Linked DNA regions of Drosophila melanogaster. The protein of the gene in region 1 interacts with the protein of each later gene in a pairwise test. Each region holds a gene or a part of one and is shown on either strand. Other genes may lie near its edges.

Region 1 (7,757 bases):
TAGTTTACACTGTTAGTATAGTCATGTATCCCAGTAAAGTAAGAAAATTATAACACGCTTTCAACTCAAGTTGAATATGAGCTTTAGGAAAAGAAATTGAATAGTCAAATTTAATCGTAATATTGCACAGTCATAAAGAAGGTACTCGAGTCTTAGTTACTGACATTTAAGGTCTAGGAATTTTGTATCGCTAAAAATGGTAATATTCAACTCAAGTCGAAAATCATACATATTAAAAATCTTTTAAGAGTAAATCATTAAGGTTTCAAGTGTTGGATGCGCACCGACAATGATGTTTTCTTCGTCCAAGCCAGAACTCAGTTTGACAACTAGAGCAACGCGAAACTGCATGGTCTGGCACCCAGAGGACACTGGAGGCTTTTTTCTCTTGAATCGAGGAAGGGGCATACGAGGCGGGACCACTACGTTCTTCGACGGCCTCCCAGGAACATGTTGAAGCATTTTCAACGATATCCGATCCATTTTCCTAGAGAAGAGTTAAATAATTAGACGACTGACAGTTAATGCACATTGTAACTTATGATTAGATGGCAGAGTATTGCCCCTGATTGAAACACCACCACCACTTCGCGCTCTGGTGATTTAAGGATGAAACAAATTCATATTTTACAGAATATGCACTGTGAGAATCCAAAGACCAAGGCCCATGTTTTAAACAAATTGGGCAGTCACTTTGCACCGAGGGTCTATAACTAACATTAACCACGCTTTTCAAGAATATATGCACGCATTTTGTATCTTAAACGATCATTATTTACATGTTCCATATTTGTCGAAACGATGCTGTTGCAGCTGGGGCAACCTTTTTCCAACAGAGCCAGTCGCATACCGTGTATTTCTCGCAGTAGCATTTCCTCACGTAGCTGAAATAGTGTATGTGATTAAAATGACTATAATGAAAACTGCTTTTGCACCGGAGCTCACCTTGTGTTCTTGTACGATTTGGTGGAGTCTTATGTTTTGTTCGCTGAGTCCGTGAGCCAGGCCATCTGGACAGGATATAGTGAACTGAGCCCTCTCCTGAAATGGTGTTGGGGGCAACGAAATGATCCCCGACGACGGAAATTGGTGTGCGCTGAAAGTAGAGTTTTTTTTTTTTTTGATTCAGTCCAATGGGAGATGCCACCAGTGAGAAAGTACACACAACTCACCTGCCATTTTCAGCCGTGAACTTCATATCGCGACTGTAGCTCGAGCCGAAGGTATTTCGCCGTATTCGTCCGCCCGTCGAGGGAGCATCGAATGGCGACTGGCCCACGAACCGCTGAAGGTCGGGTGATATAAAGAGACTTTCCTCGCCGTTGTAGCCATCGGATGCCAGCAGGGATCCGTTGGCATTGGCATTCGCATTTGCATCTTTGGCTAACTTTTCCGGCTTGCAACGGTCCGGATTTCCCGTCGTCTCCCTTGGCACTTGTAGGTCCAGGTGATGGGGAAAAGCGTCTACCCGCTGCGGGCATATAACGGCATTCGGTCTTATGTGTACCTTGGGCAAATTATTGTAGCTCTGACTGATTTTACTGGCTTGGACAGTGCTAGTCGACTCCAGCTTTCTATCACCACTGACCAGTTCCATTGTGGGGGATGTTATGTGATCTCTACTGCTATTGTCGCTGTTTGGTTTTTGTACGGGCTCCGCAGGAATAAGGGTATCAGTGCTGGTTTCAATTGCGCCATGCCACAGGGCGCGAGAAATATCACTTGTGTCTTCAGATTTTAAAGGAACTGGACTTTGATCTGAAATCATTAAGATAGTTAATGTAACGTATTCATTCTATTCTTCATTCTAACATCTCTTACCGTTTTCGGATGAACCAAATATGAAAAAAGGTCGCCCAGATTCAGAGTTCAGTTTCTGTGAGGTCGCCAAGGATTCTTCAGATTCCGAAGGAACTGCATTTTTATCTAAAACCATTAAGGTAGTTAAGTTTAGTTAAGTTCTTTTGCTTTATCCTAACATCTTTTACCGTTTTCGGATGAGCCAAAAATGAAGACAGACCCAGGGATCAGCTGTGAGGACTCCAAGGAACTTCGCCTTTGCGTTTGTGATTCCACTTCCAATATATCACGTTTAGAAGCTGTACTTTGGTCGTTATGGAAATCTGGAATGGGATTATTTGAACGGCCACATGGACCTACTTCAGTTGCATCCGTCACGTCCAGCTCTACTTCTTTGGAGTCTTTAACACTTTCTTGGACATTTTCGCTAACACTGTTGTTGGCCTCGGATCGTATGTCAAACATCGAGTTGCTATTGGCATTGAAACAATCTGTAACACTGAATCGTAGGGAAAAGAACGAAATTCATTTTGCTGCCGGATCAAATAATCTTCAGTTGACCTACATGGATTCAACGGTCAGGTTGGGATCACTGGACCTCCTGGAAATGGTGCTCTGTCCCAACTCATTCGTTGTTAAGTCTTCAGAAGATCGTGTCTTCGCCATGAGGCCTATTGGTTGTGGCAGTAAGGAGTAAAAAGTGAGTCAATTTCAATTAGGAGTACTCTACTCAACTCACCATTGTGTCCGCTCTGTCTTTCATTACTTAGTAATGGTAGATCAGTTCCATTTTTGTTGCCTAAACTACCAAGGTATACATCAGACCAAAAATATAAAAACCGCACACTGTGCGCTGGCCAAAGAACCTAAAAAAAAAAACACAAAAATCATTAGCATTCTCCTTTAGGCTGACAGCATATATCAAGTTATTAACCACCTTTTCAGTCTCATGCTTATAGAGAGGATTTCTATACATAGTTTCCGCTAAAAATGGCCACACGGAAAACGTTCGGTCGAAAACTGAATTCTCGATGCGTTCTCTGAGCGAATTACATAGGAACGTGCCGAAGAGACAGGACAACGAATGTTGCGCCAGTTTGATCTAAAAAGAATGCATATAACAAGGAGTTAATGTGCACAACTCCGTGCGAAATTCCATGCCACCACTTACCAAATAGCTTATACTAAACTCAAAACTGCATGGATACTGCCTGTGTATTTGATGCACAAGATCAAGCCACTGCAGAAAAACTGGACATCGCTCGTTAACTTCATCGGAATTGGGACCATTTCCAGAGCGATCGGCGAATTTGTGTCCAAAGTTCAGCCATTCACGCTCGACAAGAACGCGGAACCCCTGCAAATACAAGCAAGTAGGTAGAGTATTAGTCCATAGAACACAAATGTTGATGTATATCAACGTACCTCAACCGTTCTGTAGTAGGGATCCAAACATAATTGCGCCGTGGCCACGATCTGTGGAGTGCGATCCCAACCGTCTGAGCAATGTACAAGGACGGGTCGTCCATTCTTCTCGATGGTGTGCACAACGGTCATGGTGGCTCCCAGCAGACCCGACAGGTGCTGCATCCACATGGTCTTTTCCAGTTGTCCGTACCAGCTGCAAGAATATGATTCCATTACATAAATATATATATATCTTTAATAATCAGCTAGTAAACTTACTTTGGATCATCGGGGGATGACGCGCATAGCTGTCGGACAGCGTGGAAACTCTTTCGAATGGCGTGGATGTTGCCCAAGTTCATAAACTCAATCTCTGCACAGGGATAGTACTCGATGCACTCACAGCCGCCACCTCTGGCACGATTTGTAACTGCGGAGGTGTAGCTGCGAGCATCCACAATGAGGATTTTCTGAAAGCAAATACAATTTAAGAGCAATGATCAAATTATTTCATTAGCACTTGGCGGTTTTGACATCATTTTACTGCTCCGTGTTAAGTAATTTATGATAATTATTCATGAATGTTTTCTTATATGGTAACTGAAACCTTCATTTCAAGAATACCCGGCTATTTTGGTAATAAACTTACCTTGATTTCATCCAGCGTGAGTTCCTCATGCGAGGAATCGTCCAGAGATGGTGAACTCTTGCCGGATAAGCCCGACTGGCCGTTGGTCTCCTTGGAGCCCTTTGTTGGTTGCGCCTTTGCATTGGCGCAGGTGGAATGCCTGGCGTGCTCGCCCCTGTCAAAGGCACAGGCATCGGCGAGTGCCTTGAGTAGCTGCTCGTCCCTTGTGTTGCGCCAGCCGAGCCAACCGACCTCCGGCTGGCTGCATCGGGCCAAGATGGCACCCGACTTTTGGTGCCGCCAGACGACAGCCGGCAGCCTTCGTGATCCCCGGAAGTTGGCCACGTTGTGGAGCATCTCATCGGTGATACAGCAGGGCACAAGCAATTTGGGTGGATACGAGGGACAGAGCTTAAAATCGGCATTGGCCGTGGAGATGCGCCACGAGCCCTTCAGATCGAATCCCAAGCGGGCAACCTCGTTCTTAAAGTCGCTTTCATAGCGCACTGATCGTTGCAGGCGATTGCTCATGGCGGCTGAGATGGTCTCGCTGGCAGGATCGGGCAGAGGATTCGACGCTGTGACGTTGGCTGTTGGCTTTGCCAAGCCATTGTGTAGCGTTAGGCAACGATCCTTGGCAATCAGGCCGTTTCCGTTGGCCTGGGCGCTAACGATACCGCTTCCATTGCCACTTCCGAGCACATCGCAGGTCCAGGAGTAGAAGGGAAAGGCGAAGAGTGTCTCCAGTGACTCGGGAACCCCGATCATCAGATGGATCCGGCGCTGCCAGTCGGAGCACTGTTCCGCCGACGGAAAGGAGCAGCGCACAGTGCTGGCATCCTTACAATTGACAATCAGCTGGAACAGATCTCGCACCTGTACGGATTCGATTAATCCCAATGGAACGTAGGTCTCGTAGCCGGTTGACTGCTTGGAAAGGAATATCCGATAATTGGACAGGGCGAGGATACCATCATCCGTGCGCCCCAGGTACTTAATCGATTCGCCGGCCACTAGTGGTATATATACTATAGATTAGCATGTGTTATCGGTTACAGCATATGGGGGAACACCTACACTCTTGAAACGGGACGAACAGCTGGGAGTCTTCCTTCTCCATTTGTGACTTTGGATACGATTCGGCGGCACGGATAAAGCAAATCGATGGAGGCGGTGATCCATCGGACATTGTGTGAATCGGCTAAAAGAATACTTAACATGTAACGTATTCGAAATTACTTATTTGCTTATATTTAGGCAAGGCGATTTGGGTGTCATTGGAAATCCGGTTATCGCTTATAAGTGCATATATCTCTTATATCCACCATCCGAATACATAATTACGCACAACAGTGTGTGTGCGATGTTATTGGGACGATTCGATACGTATAGTATAGTGGCTCCCATAAATAAATAAATAATACTATGCACATATGTGCATGTGCATTAAGCAGTGCACAAACAAAGCCAAATAAATGTCACTGGGATGATAAATTGGGCACAATCAACACTTTTAGAACAAATCGAAGTTAATATTTGAGTTTTTGAGTGTCGTGGTGGCAATATAGATAATGCACTGCATATATATGCACGTATGGATGTACAATGTACAATGAACATACATTTATGTGAGCACACACAGTTGCAGTTCCACAAGGTGCGCAATATATAGTATGCACATATTTGTGTGTCGCTGCATTACATACGCACGCACATATATACCAATAGACTAGATTATCACGATTTCATAGCCAATAGGCGAAAAATGGCCGATTATCGTACTCAACGTATTCTAATGGCCGTGTATGTTGTCATAAACAAAGTAATTAAACATTTACGCATGTGTATGTTTGCATAAACTCATATGTATATTTGTCTATGTAGGTATGTTTGTGTTTCGATATTTCGGGGAGCAACAATAACACATTACAATCGTACATATGTATGCACACACATTTGGTTTTTGGATTCCACAAACCGTTCGCTCAGCAGACTTTTCGGGGTATTTAGCTCAAAACGTATTGCCGAATTGAAAACGCGCTTGGCTTCTAGATTTTCTCGCTCTATTTACCACCATAAAATCCATAAGCGTCAGCTATTATAAACAAAGATTTGCAAATGTTGTTGCACATACATATGTATGCATATGTATTCATTTAGACACTTTTTGTTTCATTTCCATTGAAATTGCTATCGTTGTTTGCTGCTATCGCTGTTATCGCTGCTGTTAGCGATGGCCAAGTCATGTGACTAAGCTATCGTTACTCGATTGCCGATGAGATGTGCATTCGAGACTAACCAACACTGGCCAGCCGATAAAATCAACCAAAAATTTGTAAAACTTAATAATTGTGCGTACGTTTGCATTCCATTCCAGCTGATGTGTAACTGAAATCAGAAAAAAAGAGAACCGATCGCTTGGACTCTCCGCCGGTGCACGCAATTCTACGCCCACTCCTCGCCAGCCGCATTCGCCATTCGGAAGCCGAACAAGAATGTTTGGAGCCAGAATCGGAATCGGAAAGCTTGGGCCGTGTGTGGCCCTAGTTGCGGTGAGTCGACGTGTTCCGTTCTGTCTGGTCATGTTGCTGGTCACTGGAGTGGCTCACCCGCTCGATCAGCGGGCGGGGAAACAGTGGGGAGGGGCCGGCCAGACAGCCCCGGCTTTTTTTTGGCTCCCCCTAACCAAATAACTAACTAACCAGAACTGACATCCTATGGAATTTACAGATTCTACAGCTACTCCAGTACACACAGCCGGCCGATGCCGCCGGAGCCGTGCCCATGACCAGTGATAATATCGATATGACCCTAGGTGAGATATGCCCATACCATAACCATCACAGTCATCCCCATGCCATTCCCGCTGCCAGCGTGAGCGGGAATCAATTAGCCGACTTGTCCCATTGACGTGTCACTAAACAAAATCACTGGCTCGCTCAATTCGGCACTGCCAACGTGGTAAAATAAGTTTTATGCGCTTTCGTAAAGGACAAGGTGTGGAATTTGGATAAAACTTAATTAGGGCGGTTTATATTTCATGCTGCATCGGTCCGATAGTCCGCCAAAATGGGCACTAGCCATTGGTCGGCAGTTCTTTGCTCAGAATGTCCGAAGTTTGGTCTTTGCATGAATAGGTCCTTTTTATACGGTGTGTCCTGTACACAATCCTGCGGTAATACTATATTGTTTTTTTAAAGTTATTTTTTTTTATTATCCAAACGTTAACTTTTACAGTAAAGCCTGGCCTTAGGCTTGCACCCCTTAAATTTTAACTTTCGGAAGTTATGGAATAGTAGGATGCTAGAAATTTCTTGACTTTAATATGTATATTCAGCGACAAATTTAAATATATTCCATAAAAATACATATGCATTTAAATTATTAATACATAAACCCGTAATTCAATATTGATATAAATATATTACCAAATATATGTTTTTAAAAGTTATTATATTTAGTATCTGAACGGAGTTGTATTCTACGCATCAACAATTTTACACACAATTTGGTGCCTACATTAAAAACACGTTTTGTTTTCTTGCAGCGTCTAATGAATTGGTTTTCCTTAATTTTTATGCGGAGTGGTGTCGGTTTAGTAATATTTTAGCACCTATATTCGCGGAAGCTGCAGATAAGGTGAGTCAAATGGATCGCCAGTAAAAGCTTACAAACAATGCGATACATTCATATACATTTTATATCGAATAAATACGTGGCATTCAATCGAATTTCTCTTACAGATTAAAGAGGAGTTTCCAGAGGCTGGAAAAGTGGTGCTAGGCAAGGTCGATTGCGACAAGGAAACGGCCATCGCGTCCCGTTTCCACATAAACAAGTATCCAACATTGAAAATTGTACGCAATGGGCAGCTCAGCAAGCGCGAATACCGAGGACAGCGTTCAGCCGAAGCGTTCCTCGA
Region 2 (6,235 bases), 2.9 Mb from region 1:
GAATTTCCATTAGCATCAGTTCCAAAGGGTTAATTAAAAAGTAACTCCAAGTATGACTTAACTGAAAGTGATCAAAACGACCCTTAATTAAAAGTGGAAAATTAAAAAAATATATTTTGTAAGTTTAATTGTTCAGAAATAAGATATAAGATATATATATTTGAATATTTATTATATCTCTTATTTGAATTTAAGTCAACGAACGAACAAAAATGCAAGCTACATTTTTTCAAATTTTAATACGAGTATATTTATAGTAGATATGTGTACATATAAACATACATGATGAAAATATAATTACAACATTATTATTGTCTTTTAATTATATTTTTCTATTTTATGTACAATGCATACATTTATCCAAATCGCAACTTTTATGTTGTAAGGTAATTATTTTCAATAAATGTCATAAAGCAAACTTGTATTGTGTGAAAAGTGCATGTTATTATATAACTAATAGATTTTAATCAAACTTTTAAGAAAGTTCCTTCGTCTACAAAGCAAAGAGCATTCAGCTGGAAGTTCAATTCGCAATTCGTTTTCCAGTTGTCATCCAAGCGAATTCAACCAGCTTTCGTGGTGGACAGTCTGACGAGCTCTGCTGCGCCTACACTTGAGTTCGCGGAGTCTAGAGTTTGGAGTCTTGGATCTTGGTTGTGGGTCTTGTTGACGCAGTCTGGTGATTCTAGTGCACAAGCGTTTTAAGTTCAATGCAAACTCGATGGGTGACCAAATTGGGAGGAGGCAACGCATCGAGTTGGCCATAAGCAATCCAACCGGACTGGGCAACCAAAAGCGAGGAGTTGACGCCGTTCAGAGTCACAGTCATAGTCCAATAATCATCAAATGTAAGGCGAGCGTAATTAAAAGCCAATCGTTCCAAGGTTATCCGCACACACACAACCCCATAATAATCCGCCTGCCAGCCACATTAATAATGAATTGGTATCTTTGATTAGTCGCGGGCTTCCAAAAATCGTCAAGAACCGCCGAAAGTGCTTAACTTAGTTTTGATTAATAATAAATCTGAAAGGGAAACTTCTCTTTGATCGGCTGACAGGTTCAAGCCAACTGGGAATTATAATTGGTTAGCGCTTGACTTTGATGGCTTTAAAGCTGCAATTGACATAAAAGATACGTTTTGCGAATGGCGGTTTAGAAAGGCAATAATAATAATTAACCATTCGCGTTTGTGTACATAATAAATTGATTTAATATTGTATGAATGTATTTAATGCTTCTATGATTTATGTATATGTAGTGGCTATGCTGTTGCACCTACTAACTTTGTCAAGTTCTGTTACTTTTGATGTTTATTTTATTAGTTACTAACCTGGAAGTACACCGTATCTATCATCGATGGCTTTATCCCTGACAGAAACCCATCAAAAACTCTTATCCTATTCACTTCCTCTTACATTTCGTTTACTTAGCAAAGGAATTAATCGACATTTAGATGTTTACAATATAGAATTATGTACAAAACATAAGATAAGCGCTACACACGGTGATGGAAACAGAAGGTCAGGGAAGGGGCAGAGGATCGGGCCGCGGATTAGGATTGGCAAGGTCCAAAATGCTATGCCAGAGAGTCTTTAATGCAAAGTATAAAAAAATTCAATTACATCTAGTTGTGAGCCACGCGAGGAGATGCCGCAGCAGGAGGACAGAGCGGGAGCCGGGTTTCCGACTAACTGATCTCGTACTGATATGCATCGTCCGAGTCCTCGCCGCTGGATAAGTCCCGCTTACGGCGACGCTGCTCCCGCTTGCTGAGCTTCTTGGCGGCTGGCGCCACTTCCGGTTCTGGCGGCGCAAGGGGCTCCTCCTCGGGGAGCTCTTCCTCGATGGCGGCCGCATCCTCGTCCGGCTCGTTGGCCTCCTCCTCGGCCCGCTTCTGCGTCTTGACCAGCTCGCAGAGATACTTGTAGCGCACCAGGCACTCCTCCTTGGTCTTCTCCGGCACACTGTTGGCGATCTTCTGCCAACGGTCTCCGCCGGCCGTCTTCCGGTACTTGACTATCGCCGCCTCCAGGGCGCGCTGCTGCTCTTGCGTCCAGTTGGTCTCCGGAATTAGCATGCTCTTCTCGGCTGAAGCTCCTGCATTTGCGGCTGCCTTCTTCACTTTTTCCTTACGCTGCGCCTGCTGGGACTCCTGGACGAGAGCCTCGGCCACGCTGTCAGTTTGGCCGGGAATGCGGTAGCCATTCTCCTTCATCTTGGCCGCCATAAAGGTCACCTCCTGAACGCTGCGGTTCATCGACTCGGCGATAGTGTTCCAGCGGCTGCCAGCTCCGCCAGGATACTTTTTTACCAAGCGAATCAGCTCGGTAAGATCCTCGTCAGTCCAGAAGCCGCCGCTCACCGTGCTCTAAAAGTAAAAGCATGAAATTAGTAGGGTTTCGAATTTACTAGGGAACAGGAAACACTATACTGTCGGCTTTATACCTTCTGGGAAGCTGGACGAACTGCATCGTCATCTGTCAATTCGCGAGTCTGAATCTGCGAATAGCCGCGCAATTCTTCCTCGGTCTTCTCTGGAGCCTTGCTGTTCTGCTTGCGCTTCCGCAGATTCTCCTTGTGCTCCTTGCGAAGGCGCGCCTGCTCCTCGGCCTCCCGTTCCAGTTCCTCCTGACGACGGACGGCCTCCAGTTCCCTGTGGATGCAAATTGGGATGAATCAATTAGTTTCTTACTTCTTACTTTTGGATACCGTTCCCACACGATTTTTGTTAGCTTGTTAGCTATTCTACGCTAATCGAATTTTAGTACCTTATCTGTGGTCATATCAAGAATGCTCAGTTTCATTTGATTATCGTGCGACACAAAGACTGACAATATTCCTTCTTTGGAACCTATCTAATGGTGCAAGTCATCTTAAGGTGCACTCATGAGCACCTTTTTTGGAAAGCATAAAATGTGTTTGCATGGTGACATATCGTTTTCTTTCTTTGTTTCTTAATTGAATTGCCTATATTTAGAAGAATTGTTCTAGCTTGTGAATATAAAATGCTAACTAAAGGCTATGACCAAAATTTCAACTGAGAAATGAGAAACTAACCAACTTTTAATATTAAATGATATCACTCTGCATGCAATGAACATACAGAAACCACAGCGAATTAACGATAAGAGTGGCAATGTAAGTTATCAAAACCTGATGCAATACAAAACTAGAATTATATTCTTTTGTTGCTCTATATACTAAGATATTGAAGACTAAAGTAAGAGAGGTCTGCCAAAACTCCGAGCACAAGGTCGCAAAATAATAATCCTTCCGCTGCCAGGACCTCTCGATATAGAAACTTAATGAAATAGCAAAATCCTACAACTCCAAAATGACTACAATGGAACAAGGCGCTATAATAACGTAAAAACGTAAGGTAAGCAATAGAACCCTGCCACTTACTGCCTGCGCTTCTCCAGGGCGAGTTCCTTTAGCTCGTTGGCCTTGCTGAATCCGTTCTTGATGGTGCGCGGCAGGTTCCACAGGGCCAAGGGGATCTGGATGGGCAGGGTGTTGAGTAGCGAGGGCATCGGTATCTCGCTAAGGATCACGTCCATGTCGATGTTCTTGTTCTTCTTCTGCAGCTTCTTCAGCTTGGTGCCAAAGACCTGTTCGGCGGTGTACTTCTTCTCGAGGTAGGCCGCCCAGGCGAATAGATACTGGCCCACGGTGGTTATCAGGAAGAGGATAAAGGCGCCCTCATAGAGCCCGATCTTGCGCATACGTCGGTAATAGTAGAGGGCAGACTTCCAGTTGGGCATGCCCTCCTTCAGTACCCGGTCGTACTTCTCTCGGCGCGACGGATCTTTGAGAACCTCGTAGATGGAAACGAGGTTGCGGAACTGGATGTTGGCATCCTCGGCCGGATTCTTGTCCGGATGCAGGACAATGGACAGGGTGCGGAAGGCGCGCTTCACCTCGGCGCCCGTTGCCGTTTGGTTGATGCCCATGAACTCGTAGAAGTTGCGGTTTACCTCCTCGACCAAGTCAAAGATCTCCAGTTCCTCCGAGTGCCAGGCGCTGGCGCCAGTGGCGCAGAGCAGCAGGAGGCCGGCCAGCGTCAGCTCCGGTCGCATCATCATCGTGGTCCGAGTTCCGAATCCAGGTCAGGTCCAAATCGGAGTAAAATCCAAATTTAATGCGCCAGACCCACGCACGCACCACAAATACACACACACGCAAGCAAACACGGATAGGCTCAGCTGGAAAGTGGCAACGTCAGCAGACTGGTCGCTGGTGCGACAGCGTTGCCACCACTCGGTAAAGTTTGTGTAGACAAAAAGATATTTGCAACGTTTCTATTATTTATTTTTACGAATTTCTGTTTTTTTGTTCAAAAATAATTTACTGCACTAATTCTGTAACCATATATATGTAATCAAATTTTACAAATTTTTTTTTCCAACTAACGACACACAGTAGGTCAAACAGATTTCGTTTGTTTGCTCATTAAAATTTGCTCATAACATTTGTCAAGTTCTTCCTGAAAACAATAAAACAAATTCTCTTTCTATACCGAATTTTGTTTTAACTTGATACACGTTTTTCACCTGTTTCAAACCAAAACGCCCAACACTGTCGACTGTTATCGATAAGCTCTCGATGGTGCATCACTTGTGCAACTAAATGAATAGAAGCGACGCGACGTTTCACTCTTATAAGAATAAGAAATCAGACGACAATGAAGCTGCTCTATATGCTGTGGCTGCTGAGCATCTTGGTCCTGGTCTCAGGCCAGCAGAAGCAGACAGCTAACTCCGCCACCAAGGACGCCCCAGTGGTGGCCAATGCGACGAACGTGCTGCAGGCCAAAGTTATTCCAGGATCGAAATTGGAATCTGGATCTCCGGGAGCTGCCAGCCAGCTGGTGCCGGGTAAGGATGCAGCTGTGTTGCAACAGGACAAGAACTTAAACAAAACGGCCACAGCAGAAAATGCAGGTAAAGCCAAAAATCTCACAAACACCGATACAGGAGTGCCCACCATTCCTTTGGTCACTTCCAAGCCGGCTGTGGAGCAAAAGGCGGCCAAGGAGGCGACCAATACGACCTCCACTACAACTTCTTCCACCACGACCACCACCACCACGGCAAAGCCAGCTGCAGGATCAGCCATAGTCACCGAGGGCCAGTCCATGAAGGATGTCACCAAGCCGAGCAACTCGTCCACCAACGGCGCGGCAATATCCCCGACCAACAGCACCCACACCGCCACAGCCACCACCAAAACTGTCAATTCAACCATCATCGCAACCACGCCAAAGCCGAAGAAGCCCCCAGTGGTATTGAGCACTGATATACACCAGGAGGGGGAGGATATGGCGGAGCTGGAAAAGAGTCAGGATAAGCCAGGTACAAAGGGCGCTCCCACCCAGCCATTGGCCACACCACCAGAGCCATTGGTGCAGGGGCTTACTGGAAGTAATCTTGCCGATCACGGAGAGAACGGGTATGTGGTACCCATTGTTACCGTGCTGCTGACCGTTCCGCTGGCCATCGGCGTGGTGACCATCATGTACCGCCGCTTCCGCGACATGTGGAGCACCAGGCACTACCGTCGCATGGACTTCCTGGTGGACGGCATGTACAACGACTGACGAAGACGCGGACGACAGGCTGGCGGCAAGGGCGGCCACTTCACCGGGTGCTCCAACGCCTCCTCCGGCGCACTCGGATGATTATTAGTTGTTTAAGTTATACACGACTGGACGTGCTTGCATTCAATGCAAGATCGCCGGATCGAAAGCAGAGTGAGAGTAGCGGAGAGCAGAGGAGGCGGTGGGAAAACGAAACGAAACTATGATATTGCTCAGTCAATTAGAGGAGGAGGAGAAAGGGATTCGCTTTGCAGCGTGGCTAGGATACCCTTCCGAGCGGCCAAATTGAATTTAAAGCCAACTGATTTTCAACACTAAATTCGAGTGGACTCTTAAGTTTAAGCATTTGGATTATTGTCAAGCATTTGTTAGCAATCAAAAATTGATACCGGCACTTATATGTACCCTATATATACATATATCTACTTAGGCTGCTGCTGTACATCGAAGGCTGCGGACTCTCAACCATCAACCATCAACATCAACATCAGCGCAATTAGCAATCACTTGATGCATCCACAATCTAGCCGTAATGTGCCTTACGAACCAGCTCTATATACACCTTTACACATGATATTCTCCATCGCCGGGTCTTCGAGGTGATTTCTTCGCATTTACTTTACGCAACCAAGC

Evidence for each region. The genes of interacting proteins can lie anywhere in the genome.
Region 2: the proteins of CG3632 (region 1) and CG7556 interact in a two-hybrid assay, tested with the Drosophila melanogaster proteins (one large-scale study listed by BioGRID).

Annotation. Positions count from the first base shown.
Region 1 is NC_004354.4:16,294,940-16,302,696, reverse strand, and holds the start of CG3632 (uncharacterized protein), read right to left. Parts: upstream 6,027-7,757; 5' UTR 5,922-6,026; coding exon 5,907-5,921; exon of another isoform or gene 5,790-5,906; intron 5,615-5,789; exon of another isoform or gene 5,458-5,614; intron 5,056-5,457; exon of another isoform or gene 5,037-5,055; coding exon 4,913-5,036; intron 4,849-4,912; coding exon 3,857-4,848; intron 3,678-3,856; coding exon 3,487-3,677; intron 3,422-3,486; coding exon 3,226-3,421; intron 3,158-3,225; coding exon 2,972-3,157; intron 2,903-2,971; coding exon 2,738-2,902; intron 2,667-2,737; coding exon 2,540-2,666; intron 2,472-2,539; coding exon 2,366-2,471; intron 2,300-2,365; coding exon 1,989-2,299; intron 1,927-1,988; coding exon 1,822-1,926; intron 1,759-1,821; coding exon 1,173-1,758; intron 1,097-1,172; coding exon 946-1,096; intron 885-945; coding exon 780-884; intron 488-779; coding exon 285-487; intron 1-284. Other genes in the region: ERp44 (endoplasmic reticulum protein 44), read left to right, coding at 6,331-6,387, 6,566-6,650, 7,383-7,474, 7,579-7,757.
Region 2 is NC_004354.4:19,175,592-19,181,826, forward strand, and holds CG7556 (uncharacterized protein), read right to left. Parts: upstream 4,240-6,235; 5' UTR 4,089-4,239; coding exon 3,409-4,088; intron 2,657-3,408; coding exon 2,449-2,656; intron 2,372-2,448; coding exon 1,691-2,371; 3' UTR 518-1,690; downstream 1-517. Other genes in the region: CG7453 (uncharacterized protein), read left to right, coding at 4,688-5,602.